4 linked regions of the Saccharomyces cerevisiae S288C genome follow. Changing the gene in region 2 together with the main gene of any one other region gives a genetic interaction. Each region holds a gene or a part of one and is shown on either strand. Other genes may lie near its edges.

Region 1 (5,900 bases), on a different chromosome or scaffold from region 2:
GATTGATTTCACAGTGGAGACCAATTTTTTCGCATCTGGAGCAAGGATGAGGGAAATTTTGACTAGCATCGCATTTGATTTTGTGCTGTCTACAATGTGTACATGAGGTAACTGGTCTATGGTTGATTTGATGACTGTCATCATGGTGAGATATTCGTTGTTTCTTACTTGGGAACTGGTGCTGTTGCAACTGTTGCTGCTCCGGTTGTCTTTTCATGTGAGCAGAACTAAAATCTTGGTCTTGGTCAGAATCTCGATTATCCTTCACCATGACGAGAATGCGTATACGCAGAGCCAATATAATCTGTATACGGGACCTTTGACATTAAGGTTTCTGCAGAGAGTTTATTACATGCATTTTCATATATATATTTTTAACGCCATTCCTTTACGGTATGTAAAGAAAAATGATCCAATGAGCGGCCCTTCGTACGAGATGAGATATAATAAGAATGAAAGATAGATAAAAGTTTTAGTTAGAGATACTTCATATACCTGTATATAGTAAAGTCGTTTATTTCAAAGCTTATTTCGACTTGGTGAATCTTAAATAGGGTTTAATTTCATTAAATTGACCAAATTTAGCCTTCGCCTCATCATTGGAGACAGAGGGAGGAATAATGACATCGTCAGCTGGCTGCCAATTAATTGGAGTTACTACGCCCTCCTTGTCAGTCAATTGCAAGGCGTCGATTACCCTTAACACTTCAGAAGTGTTTCTTCCGACGGTGGAAGGGTAGGTAAAAATCAGTCTAATCTTCTTCTTGGGATCGATGACGAAAACAGACCTCACGGTCTTCAGTGACCCATCATTGATATTTTTGAATCCTTCGGCATCTACCATATCATATAGGAATGCCACGTTTCTAAAAGTGTCACCAATTATTGGGAAACCAACATTTTTAACCTTTGCTATTTCCTTGATGTCTTGAATCCATTTTTCGTGGGACTCAACATCTTCCACTGAAAGCCCGATCAATTTAACATTTCTCTTGTCGAATTCCGGCTTCAATTTGGCGAATGCGCTGACTTCGGTGGTGCAGACAGGGGTGAAATCTGCTGGGTGAGAAAACAAGACCCCCCAAGAGTCGCCCAAGTAGTCGTAAAAATTGATTTTACCAACCGTTGTGTCAGCATCAAAGTTAGGAGCATCAGAGTTTATTCTTAGTCTTGGTTGATCACTTTGTTTGAATTGTTTGCACAGAATAGGTGCTGTGGCAAATGTTTTAATCGTCTGTGATTGCAAGTGAGCCTGCTTAGGAAGGGTCCATGCCGTCCTCTTTAATTGAGCGCTACAAATTCTACTAAACATCCTTTGCTTCCTGCTTCTTTGAAATTTATCTCATCCTACTGCGAGAATCTAGAAGCACAATTTTCTATATCTCTCCTTCTCTCTTTATATACCAATAGCAGCAACATCCGGCCCCTTGTTTCTTTACGTAATTAAAAATCTCCGGGGCTAGCTTTTGCCGGGGAACCCATCCCGAAAAAATTGCAAAAAAAAAAATAGCCGCCGACCGTTGGTCGCTATTCACGGAATGATAGAAAAATAGCCGCGCTGCTCGTCCTGGGTGACCTTTTGTATATTGTATAAAGATAAACATAGTGCTATCAGGAATATCTTTATATACACACGCATACTGAATGTGGTTGAAGTTCAAAAAATATCACAAACGTTAAGAAGTTTTACTGGTAAACATATAGACATAGTGGAGCGCTTGCTCGAGGTCAAATGCAGACGGATACGAGAGCGCGGGAGGGAAACCGGAGAAGGTCAATATGCCCATAATTCTTCTTCTTTGAGGTTGGCAATTATATATTGTATCTGAATTAGGCAAATAGAAAAGAGACCTTACCATTAGCGCCATCGTAGAGTCCCATTTCACCTTTTCTTAGTTCTTTATATATGTCTGCGTATGGCCCACATATGCGCGCACAGTGCGCGCCACCCTCTAAGAACGATAAACATAAAATAAACACATAAACAATCAACGACAGTTCGCGCTTCCCTCACTAAATATGGCGAGATAGTTAAACAATCATGGCTCGTTCTTCCTTGCCCAACCGCCGCACCGCCCAGTTCGAAGCGAACAAGAGGAGGACCATTGCACATGCTCCATCTCCAAGTCTTTCAAATGGGATGCACACTCTAACGCCGCCCACCTGTAACAATGGTGCTGCCACTTCAGACTCCAATATACATGTATATGTAAGGTGCAGATCGCGTAATAAGCGAGAAATAGAGGAAAAAAGTAGTGTAGTTATATCTACACTAGGCCCACAAGGGAAAGAAATCATTCTGTCCAACGGTTCTCACCAATCGTATTCGTCCTCGAAGAAAACTTACCAATTTGATCAGGTGTTCGGCGCAGAATCTGACCAGGAAACAGTGTTTAATGCCACTGCAAAAAACTACATTAAGGAAATGTTGCACGGGTACAATTGTACAATATTTGCATACGGTCAAACGGGAACAGGTAAAACCTACACTATGTCTGGCGATATAAATATTCTCGGTGATGTGCAATCTACCGATAATCTATTATTAGGAGAGCATGCAGGTATCATACCACGGGTTCTGGTCGATTTGTTTAAAGAATTGAGCTCCTTAAATAAAGAGTACTCCGTAAAAATATCCTTTTTAGAGTTGTACAATGAAAATTTGAAAGATCTGCTCTCTGATAGTGAGGACGATGATCCTGCAGTCAACGATCCCAAGAGGCAGATTCGTATTTTTGACAATAACAACAATAATTCATCCATCATGGTCAAGGGGATGCAGGAAATCTTTATTAACTCTGCACACGAAGGCTTGAATTTGCTAATGCAGGGTTCGTTAAAAAGGAAAGTGGCCGCTACTAAATGCAACGATCTTTCATCAAGGTCTCACACCGTCTTTACAATCACAACAAACATAGTTGAGCAAGATAGCAAAGACCATGGACAAAACAAAAATTTTGTTAAAATTGGCAAATTGAATTTGGTGGATTTGGCAGGCAGTGAAAACATCAACAGATCGGGTGCGGAGAATAAAAGGGCTCAAGAAGCTGGCCTAATAAACAAATCGCTGCTAACACTAGGCCGTGTTATCAACGCACTCGTTGATCATTCTAACCATATACCTTACAGAGAATCTAAGCTAACAAGATTGCTACAAGACTCTTTAGGTGGTATGACGAAAACATGCATTATCGCAACTATATCACCTGCGAAAATATCCATGGAAGAGACTGCAAGTACGCTAGAATATGCAACGAGAGCCAAATCAATTAAGAATACTCCACAAGTAAATCAGTCTTTATCGAAGGATACATGTCTCAAAGACTACATTCAAGAGATTGAAAAATTAAGAAATGATTTGAAAAATTCAAGAAACAAACAAGGTATATTTATAACTCAAGATCAGTTGGACCTTTACGAGAGCAATTCTATCTTGATTGATGAGCAAAATCTAAAAATACATAACCTGCGAGAACAAATTAAAAAATTCAAAGAAAACTACCTGAACCAATTAGATATCAATAATCTTTTACAGTCTGAAAAGGAAAAACTAATTGCCATAATACAGAATTTTAATGTCGATTTTTCTAACTTTTACTCGGAAATCCAAAAAATTCACCATACTAATCTCGAACTAATGAATGAAGTCATACAACAGAGAGATTTTTCACTAGAAAATTCTCAAAAACAGTATAATACGAACCAGAACATGCAATTAAAAATCTCTCAACAAGTTTTACAGACTTTGAACACTTTACAGGGCTCTTTAAATAATTATAACTCTAAATGTTCCGAAGTTATCAAAGGCGTCACCGAAGAACTAACCAGGAACGTAAATACCCATAAGGCGAAACACGATTCTACTCTCAAATCGTTATTAAACATTACTACTAACTTATTGATGAATCAGATGAACGAACTGGTGCGTAGTATTTCGACTTCATTGGAAATATTTCAGAGTGATTCTACTTCTCACTATCGTAAAGATTTGAATGAAATCTACCAATCACATCAACAATTTCTAAAAAATTTACAAAACGATATTAAAAGCTGTCTTGATTCGATAGGCAGTTCAATTCTAACTTCCATAAACGAAATATCGCAAAATTGCACCACTAACTTGAATAGTATGAATGTTTTAATAGAAAACCAGCAGTCAGGATCATCGAAATTAATTAAAGAGCAAGATTTAGAAATAAAAAAACTGAAAAACGATCTGATCAATGAGCGCAGGATTTCTAACCAATTCAACCAACAGTTGGCTGAAATGAAGCGATATTTTCAGGATCACGTTTCCAGGACGCGTAGTGAATTCCACGACGAACTTAACAAATGTATCGATAACCTAAAAGATAAACAATCTAAGTTGGATCAAGATATCTGGCAGAAGACGGCCTCTATTTTCAACGAAACAGATATCGTAGTTAATAAAATTCATTCCGACTCAATAGCATCCCTCGCTCATAATGCTGAAAACACTTTGAAAACGGTTTCTCAGAACAATGAAAGCTTTACTAACGATTTAATCAGTCTATCACGCGGAATGAACATGGACATATCCTCCAAACTGAGAAGTTTGCCCATCAATGAATTTTTAAACAAGATATCACAAACCATTTGTGAAACCTGTGGCGATGATAACACAATCGCATCAAATCCAGTATTGACCTCTATTAAAAAATTTCAAAATATAATTTGTTCAGACATTGCCCTAACAAATGAGAAGATCATGTCATTAATAGATGAAATACAATCACAAATTGAAACCATATCTAATGAAAACAATATCAATTTGATTGCAATAAATGAAAATTTTAATTCTTTGTGCAATTTTATATTAACTGATTACGATGAGAATATTATGCAAATCTCAAAAACACAAGATGAGGTGCTTTCTGAACATTGCGAGAAGCTACAATCACTGAAAATACTGGGTATGGACATTTTCACTGCTCACAGCATAGAAAAACCCCTTCATGAGCATACAAGACCTGAAGCGTCAGTAATCAAGGCTTTACCCTTATTGGATTATCCAAAACAATTTCAGATTTATAGGGATGCTGAAAATAAGAGCAAAGACGACACATCTAATTCTCGTACTTGTATACCAAACTTGTCAACTAATGAAAATTTTCCTCTTTCACAATTCAGTCCAAAAACCCCAGTGCCAGTGCCTGATCAACCTCTACCAAAAGTTCTTATACCGAAAAGCATAAACTCGGCCAAGTCCAATAGATCAAAGACCTTACCAAATACAGAGGGTACTGGACGAGAATCGCAGAACAATTTGAAGAGAAGATTTACCACCGAGCCAATATTGAAGGGAGAAGAAACTGAAAATAATGACATACTGCAAAATAAAAAACTTCATCAATAAGGGGATATAGCCATTGTAAAATATTTGTATCACTATATGCATTGAGTGTAAACTGTTGCACCTATAAAGAATGAAAACAATCTAGTATGTGTACTTACATAATTACACAGTCTTTTTTTTTTTTACCTTGTTTATCCTTCTTGTTCTTCAAGCTTGTAGGTTTTTTTGACTCAGTTTTTACTGCAGGAAAATCTTTACGAATCATGTTTGAACTGCCCATATTTGATAAACTAACTTCTTGCTTTGCTGCCATCGACTGCTCAGCAACTTCCCTTGACATTCCCTTTGCTGAGGAAGAACTTTTCCTGATGCTTGTATCAGAACCCGTTTTAATACCATTTCTATTCGTGTTTGAATTCATGTTAATTTGCAAACCTTGTGGCTCACGATCACGTTTTGGATTTCCAGTAAAGAATGTTTCAGATTTTGAAGAAACTCTTGAATTTGACCCTACGTTACTTGTTTGACTGTCCACAGTAGAGAATAAATTCAAAGTACTGATACTTTTATTTTTTTTATGCTG
Region 2 (3,957 bases):
GAACTTCAGGTCGCCCAATCAAGGGAGACTCATCTGCTGGTGGGAAGCAACAAAATTTCGTTAGACAGACAACAAAGTATTGGGTTCACCCTGATAACATTACAGAATTGAAGCTGATCATCTTGAAGCATTTACCAGTGTTAGTCTTCAACACTAATAAGGAATTCGAAAGAGAAGATTCCGCTATTACTTCGATCTATTTTGATAATGAAAATCTAGACCTTTATTATGGCAGATTAAGAAAAGATGAAGGTGCAGAAGCCCACAGATTGAGATGGTATGGGGGTATGTCTACAGACACGATCTTTGTAGAAAGAAAGACCCATAGAGAGGATTGGACTGGTGAGAAATCTGTCAAGGCAAGATTTGCGCTAAAGGAACGTCATGTTAATGACTTCTTAAAGGGTAAATATACTGTTGATCAAGTATTTGCCAAGATGCGTAAAGAAGGCAAGAAGCCAATGAACGAAATTGAAAACTTGGAGGCGTTAGCATCCGAAATTCAATACGTCATGTTAAAGAAAAAGTTGAGACCTGTAGTGAGATCATTCTACAATAGAACTGCTTTTCAATTACCTGGTGATGCAAGAGTTCGTATCTCCCTTGATACAGAGTTAACTATGGTGAGAGAAGACAACTTTGATGGTGTGGATAGAACTCATAAGAATTGGAGGAGAACTGATATTGGTGTCGATTGGCCATTCAAGCAGCTAGATGACAAGGATATTTGCCGTTTCCCATATGCAGTCCTGGAAGTTAAATTGCAAACTCAACTAGGTCAAGAACCTCCAGAGTGGGTACGTGAATTAGTCGGGTCTCACTTAGTTGAGCCAGTCCCAAAATTCTCCAAGTTTATTCATGGTGTGGCTACCTTACTAAATGATAAAGTGGATTCAATCCCATTTTGGTTACCTCAAATGGATGTTGATATCAGGAAACCTCCACTACCAACAAATATTGAAATAACAAGACCCGGTAGATCCGATAACGAAGATAACGACTTCGATGAGGATGATGAGGATGACGCTGCTTTGGTTGCTGCCATGACAAACGCACCCGGTAATTCTCTTGATATAGAAGAATCTGTTGGTTACGGGGCTACTTCGGCCCCCACCTCCAACACTAATCATGTTGTTGAGAGTGCTAATGCTGCTTATTATCAAAGAAAGATCAGGAATGCCGAAAATCCTATCTCCAAGAAATACTATGAAATCGTGGCATTTTTTGACCACTATTTTAACGGTGATCAAATATCTAAAATCCCAAAAGGTACTACTTTTGATACTCAAATTCGTGCCCCACCGGGAAAGACGATATGTGTGCCAGTTCGTGTGGAACCAAAAGTTTACTTTGCCACTGAAAGAACCTACCTGTCTTGGTTGTCCATCTCGATATTGTTGGGCGGTGTCTCCACTACTTTATTAACATATGGTTCACCAACAGCCATGATTGGCTCCATTGGGTTCTTTATTACTTCCTTGGCTGTGTTGATACGTACTGTTATGGTTTATGCCAAGAGAGTGGTAAACATTAGACTAAAGAGAGCAGTAGATTATGAGGATAAGATCGGGCCCGGCATGGTTTCTGTGTTTCTAATTCTCTCTATTTTATTTTCCTTTTTCTGCAACCTAGTTGCTAAATGAATACACAGCGTGTTTTTTTTACTGTATAATTAAGTAATAATCATATTAGATATAATAATTTCTTTAGCGCCATTTTTTTATATATGAGAACTACCCTCTTGCCTGAAATGCACACCTTCACCAGGCGCACACTGGTTCAAAAATAGTAAACAAAATCATGCGAAAATACAATAAAAGACGTTAACTTGATAGAATGAAAGCGTACGCAAAGAAACGTATCTCTTACATGCCATCGTCACCATCACAAAATGTTATTAACTTTGAAGAAATCGAAACTCAAAAAGAAAACATTCTTCCCCTGAAGGAAGGCAGATCAGCAGCGGCACTCTCGAAAGCGATACATCAACCACTGGTGGAAATAAACCAAGTTAAATCAAGCTTCGAACAAAGACTGATAGATGAGCTCCCTGCATTAAGCGACCCAATTACTTTGTATCTTGAATACATAAAGTGGCTGAACAACGCCTATCCACAAGGCGGTAATTCCAAACAATCTGGAATGCTCACCCTTTTGGAGCGATGTTTATCTCACTTAAAGGATTTGGAGAGATATCGCAATGATGTTAGGTTTCTTAAAATATGGTTTTGGTACATAGAACTTTTTACCAGAAATTCATTCATGGAAAGCAGAGACATTTTCATGTATATGTTAAGAAATGGAATTGGTTCCGAGTTAGCGTCATTTTATGAAGAATTTACGAATCTATTAATTCAGAAAGAAAAATTTCAATATGCCGTGAAAATTCTACAGCTAGGAATCAAAAATAAGGCTAGGCCTAATAAGGTTTTAGAAGACCGGTTAAACCATCTCCTGAGAGAACTGGGGGAGAACAATATTCAGCTAGGAAATGAAATATCGATGGACTCATTAGAGTCTACAGTACTTGGGAAAACCAGATCTGAATTTGTCAATAGACTAGAGCTTGCAAATCAAAATGGCACATCAAGTGACGTCAATTTAACAAAAAACAACGTATTTGTAGATGGAGAAGAGTCTGATGTAGAACTATTCGAAACTCCGAATAGAGGTGTTTATAGAGATGGCTGGGAAAATTTTGACTTAAAGGCAGAAAGGAACAAAGAAAACAACCTTCGAATATCATTGCTAGAAGCAAATACCAATTTGGGTGAGCTTAAACAACATGAGATGTTATCGCAAAAAAAGAGACCATATGATGAAAAACTACCGATCTTTAGAGATTCTATAGGTAGAAGTGACCCTGTTTATCAAATGATTAATACAAAGGACCAGAAACCAGAAAAAATTGACTGTAATTTTAAACTGATTTATTGTGAAGATGAGGAATCTAAAGGTGGTAGACTAGAATTTTCGCTAGAAGAAGTCTTGGCAATTTCTAGAAACGTTTATAAAAGGGTTAGGACAAATAGGAAACATCCAAGAGAAGCAAATTTAGGGCAAGAAGAAAGCGCAAATCAAAAAGAAGCTGAAGCACAATCGAAAAGACCAAAAATAAGTAGAAAAGCCTTAGTCTCCAAGTCGTTGACCCCCTCAAACCAGGGAAGAATGTTTTCTGGCGAAGAGTACATAAACTGCCCTATGACGCCAAAGGGACGAAGCACTGAGACGTCTGATATCATCTCAGCTGTCAAGCCGCGGCAGTTAACCCCAATTTTAGAAATGAGAGAATCAAATTCTTTTTCTCAAAGCAAAAATTCTGAGATCATTTCAGATGATGACAAGTCGAGTTCGTCTTTCATATCGTACCCACCACAGCGTTGAAATAAAACTAATCCCATGAATGAGTAAGTATACTGGCCAATCGTAAACACATCGACGGCCGACTTTTTTATTTAAAGCACAGATGATATAATGATTATTTAACGAATGATACTTCTATATTAAATCCTATGAGGAGTAATATAAATATAAAAAGGCCAATTTTAAAATGAACGTTTGTCCGATTAACGCTTATGACATACTGTAGGGATGACAAAATTATAGTGAGGACTTTAATTCTATATAAATACATTACAATAGTATAAAAAAACAAAAAAATGTGAAGAAACACCAAATATTAAACGGCAGTAATGAAGTTTAACCTCGAGGCTATTATTCTTGTTTTCTTACACCACTAACAATATCATCAACCCTTAATAGTAAACATGCACTTTCAATAGCGGTTTTGACACTTTGCTGCTTGATGACTTCAGGTTCCCAAATACCGTAACTAACCATATCTACAATTTTCCCCTTGTCACCATCAATACCTGTTGTAAAATTTCCCTGTGCGTGTTTGGCTCTTAGTTGGGATAGGAGTCTAATAGGATCACCACCTGCATTTTGTATCAAAGT
Region 3 (4,126 bases), on a different chromosome or scaffold from region 2:
CAGGAGCTCCACCTTGATCGCTTTGGCTTATTCCAGGCGTTTTCAGGCACTGTATATTGGTACTATATCGCTATGTATTTGACAGTCATTATCAACGGATACCCTTCTTGAAAATTTTTCAGATGGGATGACATGTGAAAAGTGTAACAATCGAGAACTGTAAACAGCATGGGGGAGCATTCATCAATATTGTTATTTAGTGTAAGCCAGATTGTGAAGACGCACTTCTTGCCAAGTATCTTCCCAAACAGCGAACCTGTCATACTTAACTGTTCCACTTCCATATACCTAAAATGTCTGACAACCCTGAGATGAAACCACATGGTACGAGCAAGGAGATTGTGGAGTCGGTTACTGACGCCACCTCAAAGGCGATTGATAAATTGCAAGAAGAACTCCACAAGGACGCCAGCGAATCCGTCACGCCGGTGACCAAGGAAAGCACTGCTGCTACAAAGGAAAGCAGGAAATACAACTTTTTCATTAGAACAGTTTGGACGTTTGTTATGATCAGTGGTTTCTTCATCACCTTAGCATCGGGTCATGCATGGTGTATAGTGCTGATTTTGGGCTGCCAAATTGCTACTTTTAAAGAGTGTATTGCCGTAACAAGTGCATCTGGTCGCGAAAAGAATTTGCCATTGACAAAGACGTTGAACTGGTACCTTCTCTTCACCACTATCTATTACTTAGATGGGAAATCACTCTTCAAGTTTTTCCAAGCTACTTTTTACGAGTATCCTGTATTGAACTTTATCGTAACAAATCATAAGTTTATCTGCTATTGTCTCTATCTTATGGGATTTGTTCTGTTCGTTTGTAGTTTAAGAAAGGGATTTTTGAAATTCCAGTTCGGATCATTGTGCGTTACTCATATGGTTCTTCTTCTGGTAGTATTTCAGGCTCATTTGATCATCAAAAACGTGCTCAATGGGCTATTCTGGTTCTTATTACCATGCGGGTTGGTAATTGTTAATGATATCTTCGCCTACCTGTGCGGCATTACATTCGGTAAGACTAAACTAATAGAAATCTCGCCCAAGAAAACTTTAGAAGGTTTCCTTGGTGCCTGGTTTTTCACTGCTCTAGCTAGTATTATATTAACAAGGATTCTGAGCCCTTATACTTACTTGACGTGCCCTGTTGAAGATCTCCATACCAATTTTTTCTCTAATTTGACATGTGAACTAAACCCAGTTTTCCTTCCACAAGTTTACAGACTTCCACCCATCTTTTTCGATAAAGTTCAAATCAATTCAATTACAGTAAAACCAATTTATTTCCATGCTTTAAACTTAGCTACCTTTGCATCATTATTTGCGCCATTTGGAGGCTTTTTCGCATCTGGTCTAAAGAGAACTTTTAAAGTTAAAGACTTTGGCCACTCCATCCCAGGCCATGGTGGTATCACAGACAGGGTTGATTGCCAATTCATAATGGGTTCTTTTGCCAATTTGTACTATGAAACATTCATCAGCGAACACAGAATAACAGTAGATACAGTTTTATCCACTATTTTAATGAACCTGAACGACAAGCAGATTATAGAATTGATTGATATCTTGATTAGATTCCTATCTAAAAAAGGTATAATATCAGCGAAGAATTTTGAAAAGTTGGCTGACATCTTTAATGTGACCAAGAAATCATTGACCAATCACTCTTGAATATAAAAAAGACCATATAAAAGTATATATGAGTGTATGAATAGTTTTTTTTTTTCAAACTTATGCACGCTATACTACTCTTTCCCTATTTAGTTTATGTAAATTATAAAATATGATATCAATTCTTTAACAAAATTTCTCGCTCGTTTTTATACTTATGACTATATGTAGGAAAATAAACGTGTTGCTCTGTCATGTTACTTCTAAAATATTGAGAGGAGAAAAAAAAAAAAAAAAAAAAAATTATAAACAAATGAAAAAAGGACGTACTGACTAATAGTAAGTAGATCTTTTACCTGGAAGGTGCCCTATGATAAGATTTTTCATCAACCAATCTAGCTGAGCATACTGTTGGCAGTAATTAGGATGATTTTCTCACTAGATGAAGAACTTCATCGTGTGTCACTAGATGATAAAAAGAATGACATTAAAGTAGATTATTCCTCGGCAATATACAATGATATCAATCATGAACAAGGCAGCTCCATCACATATGAGGAGAGTATAAATCACCTCTCGGTTCATTCAAATGCGATTCCGCTAAATGGCATGAGTCCTGCACATAGGATGAGAAGAAGGTCCTCAGCTTATTCCAAATTCCCTATTCTCACTCCACCAAATACGAGAAGATTTTCTATTACAGGTTCGGACGCAATGCGAACTAATACGAATAGACTATCCATAACACCTCAGGACATTATTTCCTCTAATATTGGAGAAAATGAATTATCAAGGAACCTGCACGATTTTAAGCCCGTGAGAGTCCTAGGCCAAGGTGCCTACGGTAAAGTTCTTCTTGTTAAGGACGTCAATACATCCAAGCTGTATGCTATGAAGCAATTACGGAAAGCAGAAATTTTAATTTCTCAAACAGCCACAGATTCCAAGAGAGAAGACGAAGATAAAAATGATGGTAATAACAACGATAATGACGATGGATTATCAAAGAGGCTTGAGAGAACATTTGCCGAACGGTCTATTCTATCTGAAATAGAACATCCAAACATTGTCAAGTTATTTTATTCTTTTCACGATAACTCAAAGTTATATTTACTGCTACAATATATCCCTGGCGGTGAACTATTTTACCACTTGAAGGAACACGGGACCCTAGATGAGACGACAGTTTCGTTTTACGCGGCAGAAATCAGCTGTGCCTTGAGATTTTTGCATACGAAAGGTGTTGTCTATAGAGATTTAAAACCTGAAAACTGTTTATTGAATCAACGTGGACATTTAGTATTGACAGATTTTGGTCTGAGTAAAAAAAGTGCTAATGATTCCGCGGTTGATGAGGAGGATCCAGAGAACGTCAATGCCCTATACTCGATTATCGGTACGCCTGAATACTGTGCGCCTGAAATATTATTAGGTAAAGCTTACAGTCAGAATTGTGATTGGTATTCTTTGGGATGTCTGTTGTATGACATGTTAGTAGGTAAGCCTCCATATACTGGTAGCAATCATAAGGTGATCATTAATAAGATTCAACAAAACAAGCAAGGCCCCAAAATTCCATTTTATCTGAGCGAGGGAATGAAAGATATATTAAACGCGCTGTTGAAGAAGGAAACTGCCAAAAGGTGGAATGTTGACAAATACTGGGCCAAAACCGGGGCTAATAATAAGCCTACTAAGTCTAAGAAGAAGAAATCAGGGGCTGCAAGAACTAGTCTTTTCACTGAACATTTTATCTTTAGAAAAATAGACTGGAAGTTATTAGAATCTGGACAATTGCAAAAAACCACTCTAGGCCCAATTGTTCCAGTTATTACGGATTTGGAACTAGCGGAAAATTTTGACACAGAATTTACTTCTATGTCATATGAGGAAACCTATACGGATAGCAAGCCGATTAATATCAATTCGGTGAGCAAGTCCCCGGATATGTTCAAGGGATTTAGTTATAAAGCAAGTGGTAGCTATTTGGAGAAGTACTTTTGAATTAAAAGTTAGATAGATTAAGAGAGAAGGCTCGGATCTGCACTGACTTACTTTTTTTTGTTTTTTTGATGTTTAAAGGATCTGTGTCACTGTATATACTTTGTTTTGCTTTAGGGTTACGAAACACATTTTTAATATATAATGTATGTAATAATATTAAAAACAACTGTATGGATAATACTTCTGGACCAATCGGTGATACCATCTTCCTTATTTATGGTATTATTATCATTATTGGACCCCGCCGGTGCTTTTTTTTTTACCTTAAAAGAGTGGTTCTCCTCCAAGGGACGCACGAGTGGTGTACCCAGGGGTTGTTTCCATGGCTAAAGAAATTGGAGATTACAAACGTACATTGTCATTTAAGAAGGTTCATAATCTGCCAATTACATTTGATATAACAAGATGCTTCCCACATTCAAACGTTACATGTCGTCCTCAGCTCATCAGATTCCCAAGCACTTCAAATCGCTCATCTATTCAACTCATGAAGTTGAGGATTGTACCAAGGTTTT
Region 4 (3,849 bases), on a different chromosome or scaffold from region 2:
GCTGCAAACCCGTCAAGCAACCTAAATACATTTTTATCGGGTATTCTTCAACTATTGTACCGCTCTTTACTGTCAATTGCATCTGCCGTACTTTTCATTTACTTCTTATGTGCTCGTTCTACTATACTTTTAAAGGCGTCACAAAAATTATGTAAAGCCTCGCGACGATCATGTAGGAAAAAAAAAAAAAAGACAATACCAGCTAATAATTATCGATTAATAACGAAATACAAGAACAGTCGTTTAGTTTAGAGTATCATCAAGGGCTTTTGCACGAAATAAAAATATGAGAATATCAATATTACAGCTGGTGCCGGTTGTTGGCTACATCGGATTTGCACTGGGAGAATTATACAAACCCAAAAACTCCATTTCTTGTTCTCCAAATAACCCTTGTCCCGCAGAATGGCCGTGCTGCTCGCCGTATAATGAATGTGGCGCTGGACCGATATGTGTCGGTGGCTGCAACGTGAGGTCATCTTTCGACGAGGAAAGCTGTGCTCCTATACCTGCATTAGTCGCCAGTCAAAAACTTGAATTTGTTAGCACACCAAAGGTTCCTAAATTTATTGTGAACTATCAACCTAAGCCACCAATAAGAGAGGGAAATGGACCGAATAAGGCAAATACCAAGGTGGGTGTAGTAGAAGGGGAGCTAAATTCCAAGAGAATCATACACTACGCCAAATTCTTGGTCACTCCAGACAGTAAAGAGGCAGAGAAAATGTTGGAAGATTTCGATTTCACACATAGCGGCTACACATCAATTGAAGCGAGTAGCGGGAATATTGTTCTGGCTATGCCAAAAAAAACTACCGGAAGTTTGATCACATCGACCAGGTCGTTTCTATACGGCAAGGCAAGCGTGCGAATGAAAACGGCGAGGTCGAGGGGTGTGGTGACTGCATTTGACTTAACATCCGCAATTGGGGACGAGATTGATTTTGAGTGGCTGGGTGGTGATTTAATGACGGCCCAATCAAACTACTATTCTCAAGGGCATTTGGATTACACAAGAATGCAAAGATTTCCCGTAGGCGCTGACACTTGGGCCACTTACCACACTTATGAGATTGATTGGGACCCGGATAGGATAATATGGTATGTTGATGGTAAAATAGCTCGCACAGTCCTGAAGAAGGATACCTGGGACCCCATTAGTAAAGAATATAGGTACCCACAAACGCCGATGAGACTAGAAATCGCTGTTTGGCCAGGCGGCTCGGAAACCAACGGACCCGGTACAATAAACTGGGCAGGTGGCCTCATAGATTGGGAAAATTCACCCGATATTATCGAAAAGGGCCAATTTACGGCGCATGTTGAACAAATCACCGTAACGCCGTACCAAAATAAATTCACAGAACAAGTGCAGTTTTGTATAAAGGCAAAGAAAAAGGCACCAACCTTTTCCCAAAAAGATTTGTCAAGAGTAGTCGTTTCGTATAACAGGCAAGACAGACTGAATCATCATGATGAGGGGTCTCTCAAATGGGACTGCTTTGTTACTCCAAAGATAAATGACTGGTTGAGTTCTTGGAAACGGTCAAAATAGTCACAGCAATAATGTCTTACGAAGTTCTCTCTTCCGTAACGGATCCTCTAATTCCCTGCATGAAGGCACGCTCTAATATATATGTATACATTCTTTAGTTCAAACCTTTCAAGAAACACAAAATGCACCTATTTTCCGCATTGCAATTATTACTAATTTCCTAAAGCAAATATTTACTATTCTCCCATTATAACGTTCTCTCTTTGTTACCCTGACATTCAGAAAATATCACCGGGTAACAGAACGCGTTAATATTATCTTTTGGGAAATTTCATTAAATGTAATAAATAATAATCGTAACAGTAGCTGCGAAATGAACAAATGCGTAATATCGGTTAGTCACATGTATAAGAATTCAACATATAACTATCTATGGGTGGAGAAATTATTACTTTGCAAGCAGGTCAATGCGGGAACCACGTTGGTAAGTTTCTCTGGTCTCAATTGGCGAAAGAACACGCTATAGGCACCGATGGGCTATCTCAGCTTCCTGATTCCAGTACGGAAAGAGATGATGACACAAAGCCTTTCTTCCGCGAAAACAGTAGGAATAAGTTTACGCCAAGGGCTATTATGATGGATTCCGAGCCTAGTGTCATCGCCGACGTGGAGAACACATTTCGTGGGTTTTTCGACCCAAGAAATACCTGGGTAGCTTCTGATGGCGCTAGCGCTGGTAATTCTTGGGCCAATGGGTATGATATAGGAACTCGTAACCAGGATGATATTCTTAACAAGATCGACAAGGAGATTGATTCTACCGACAATTTCGAAGGTTTCCAGTTGCTGCACTCAGTAGCCGGAGGGACCGGTTCAGGGCTCGGATCCAACCTCTTAGAAGCGCTGTGTGATCGATATCCTAAAAAAATACTCACGACATATTCTGTGTTCCCTGCAAGATCTTCTGAGGTTGTTGTTCAATCTTATAACACTATTCTGGCTTTGAGAAGACTGATAGAAGATAGCGATGCAACGGTGGTGTTTGATAACGCTTCGTTGCTGAATATTTCCGGTAAAGTGTTTAGAAATCCGAACATCGATTTACAACACACGAATCAATTGATATCGACCATAATATCTTCAGTAACGAACAGTATACGGTTTCCGAGTTACATGTATTCATCCATGTCCAGTATTTACTCTACCTTGATTCCTTCTCCTGAACTTCATTTCCTAAGCCCTAGTTTCACTCCATTTACATCAGATTATATTCACGATGATATAGCGCATAAAGGCCATTCCAGTTATGACGTCATGTTAGATTTATTAGACCCTTCCAATTCTCTTGTCTCTACCGCGATGAACAATCCAACATATTTTAACGTTTATAATACAATCATTGGTAATGTAGAACCTCGTCAGATATCGCGTGCTATGACCAAATTACAACAACGCATCAAATTCCCCTCATGGTCCTCTTCTGCGATGCACGTTAACATTGGAAGAAGATCGCCATACTTGCCTTTACAACCAAATGAAAACGAAGTTAGCGGCATGATGTTAAGCAATATGTCTACCGTGGTGAACGTCTTTGAGAATGCGTGCAATACTTTTGACAAAGTATTTGCCAAGGGCGCATTTTTAAATAATTATAATGTAGGCGACTTGTTCCAATCAATGCAGAACGTTCAAGATGAATTCGCCGAGTCAAGAGAAGTAGTACAAAGCCTGATGGAGGATTATGTAGCTGCAGAACAAGATTCGTACTTGGACGATGTACTTGTTGATGATGAAAATATGGTTGGCGAGTTGGAAGAGGACCTGGATGCCGACGGTGATCATAAATTAGTATAATGATGCCTTCCTTGTTCAGGAATTTTACCACCGCCCAATAGTTTTATTATAGTACTCTCAATATATCTATACCAACAACCGCTTCAAATGTATTATCTCCCTTTATAAATTCTGCACTGTATTGTAATATGTATAAAGCTCTGTACCACTTTTTCATCATTGCATACATCGATAGCGCCTCTTCAACTTTAGAATTTCCTAAAGGGTAGAAAAACCAGATGATTCAACTCAGCGTAATGGAACGCTCTGTTTGAAATAAAAAACATCTGTATCGCTGCACGGATTAGTTCGATAATTCAACGACAGTTATACTAATCTTGGTGATGGAATGAGTACTTTAGCGGAAGTAAGTTTTTGAATTATGCCCCCACTTTTTTTTTGTTCATGGTGACTAACATGAATTAGGTTTATACTATTATTGAGGACGCCGAACAGGAATGTCGAAAAGGAGATTTTACAAATGCAAAAGCGAAGTATCAAGAAGCCATTGAAGTTTTAGG

What was found.
Region 1: of MAD3 (region 2) and KIP1, changing one suppresses a phenotype caused by changing the other (phenotypic suppression), as found in Saccharomyces cerevisiae (one study listed by BioGRID).
Region 3: mutations in MAD3 (region 2) and YPK3 together harm fitness more than expected from each alone (negative genetic interaction), as found in Saccharomyces cerevisiae (2 studies listed by BioGRID).
Region 4: mutations in MAD3 (region 2) and TUB4 impair growth when combined (synthetic growth defect), as found in Saccharomyces cerevisiae (2 studies listed by BioGRID, with this or other methods).

Annotation. Positions count from the first base shown.
Region 1 is NC_001134.8:99,845-105,744, forward strand, and holds KIP1 (Kip1p), read left to right. Parts: upstream 1-2,041; coding exon 2,042-5,377; downstream 5,378-5,900. Other genes in the region: SEF1 (Sef1p), read right to left, coding at 1-271; thioredoxin peroxidase PRX1, read right to left, coding at 527-1,312; SKT5 (Skt5p), read right to left, coding at 5,472-5,900. UniProt on the Saccharomyces cerevisiae protein: Required for assembly of the mitotic spindle. Interacts with spindle microtubules to produce an outwardly directed force acting upon the poles. Following spindle assembly, CIN8 and KIP1 apparently act to oppose a force that draws separated poles back together.
Region 2 is NC_001142.9:408,920-412,876, reverse strand, and holds MAD3 (Mad3p), read left to right. Parts: upstream 1-1,836; coding exon 1,837-3,384; downstream 3,385-3,957. Other genes in the region: VTC4 (Vtc4p), read left to right, coding at 1-1,643; chaperonin-containing T-complex subunit CCT3, read right to left, coding at 3,715-3,957.
Region 3 is NC_001134.8:293,910-298,035, reverse strand, and holds YPK3 (putative protein kinase YPK3), read left to right. Parts: upstream 1-2,033; coding exon 2,034-3,611; downstream 3,612-4,126. Other genes in the region: CDS1 (phosphatidate cytidylyltransferase), read left to right, coding at 294-1,667; YBR027C (uncharacterized protein), read left to right, coding at 3,680-4,012; ETR1 (enoyl-[acyl-carrier-protein] reductase), read left to right, coding at 4,017-4,126. UniProt on the Saccharomyces cerevisiae protein: AGC kinase which plays a role in TOR complex 1 (TORC1) signaling pathway which mediates temporal control of cell growth in response to nutrients. Required for phosphorylation of ribosomal protein S6 (RPS6A/RPS6B) at 'Ser-232' and 'Ser-233'.
Region 4 is NC_001144.5:564,360-568,208, reverse strand, and holds TUB4 (gamma-tubulin), read left to right. Parts: upstream 1-1,927; coding exon 1,928-3,349; downstream 3,350-3,849. Other genes in the region: CRR1 (putative glycosylase), read left to right, coding at 287-1,555; ATG38 (Atg38p), read left to right, coding at 3,678-3,695, 3,755-3,849. UniProt on the Saccharomyces cerevisiae protein: Tubulin is the major constituent of microtubules. The gamma chain is found at microtubule organizing centers (MTOC) such as the spindle poles or the centrosome, suggesting that it is involved in the minus-end nucleation of microtubule assembly.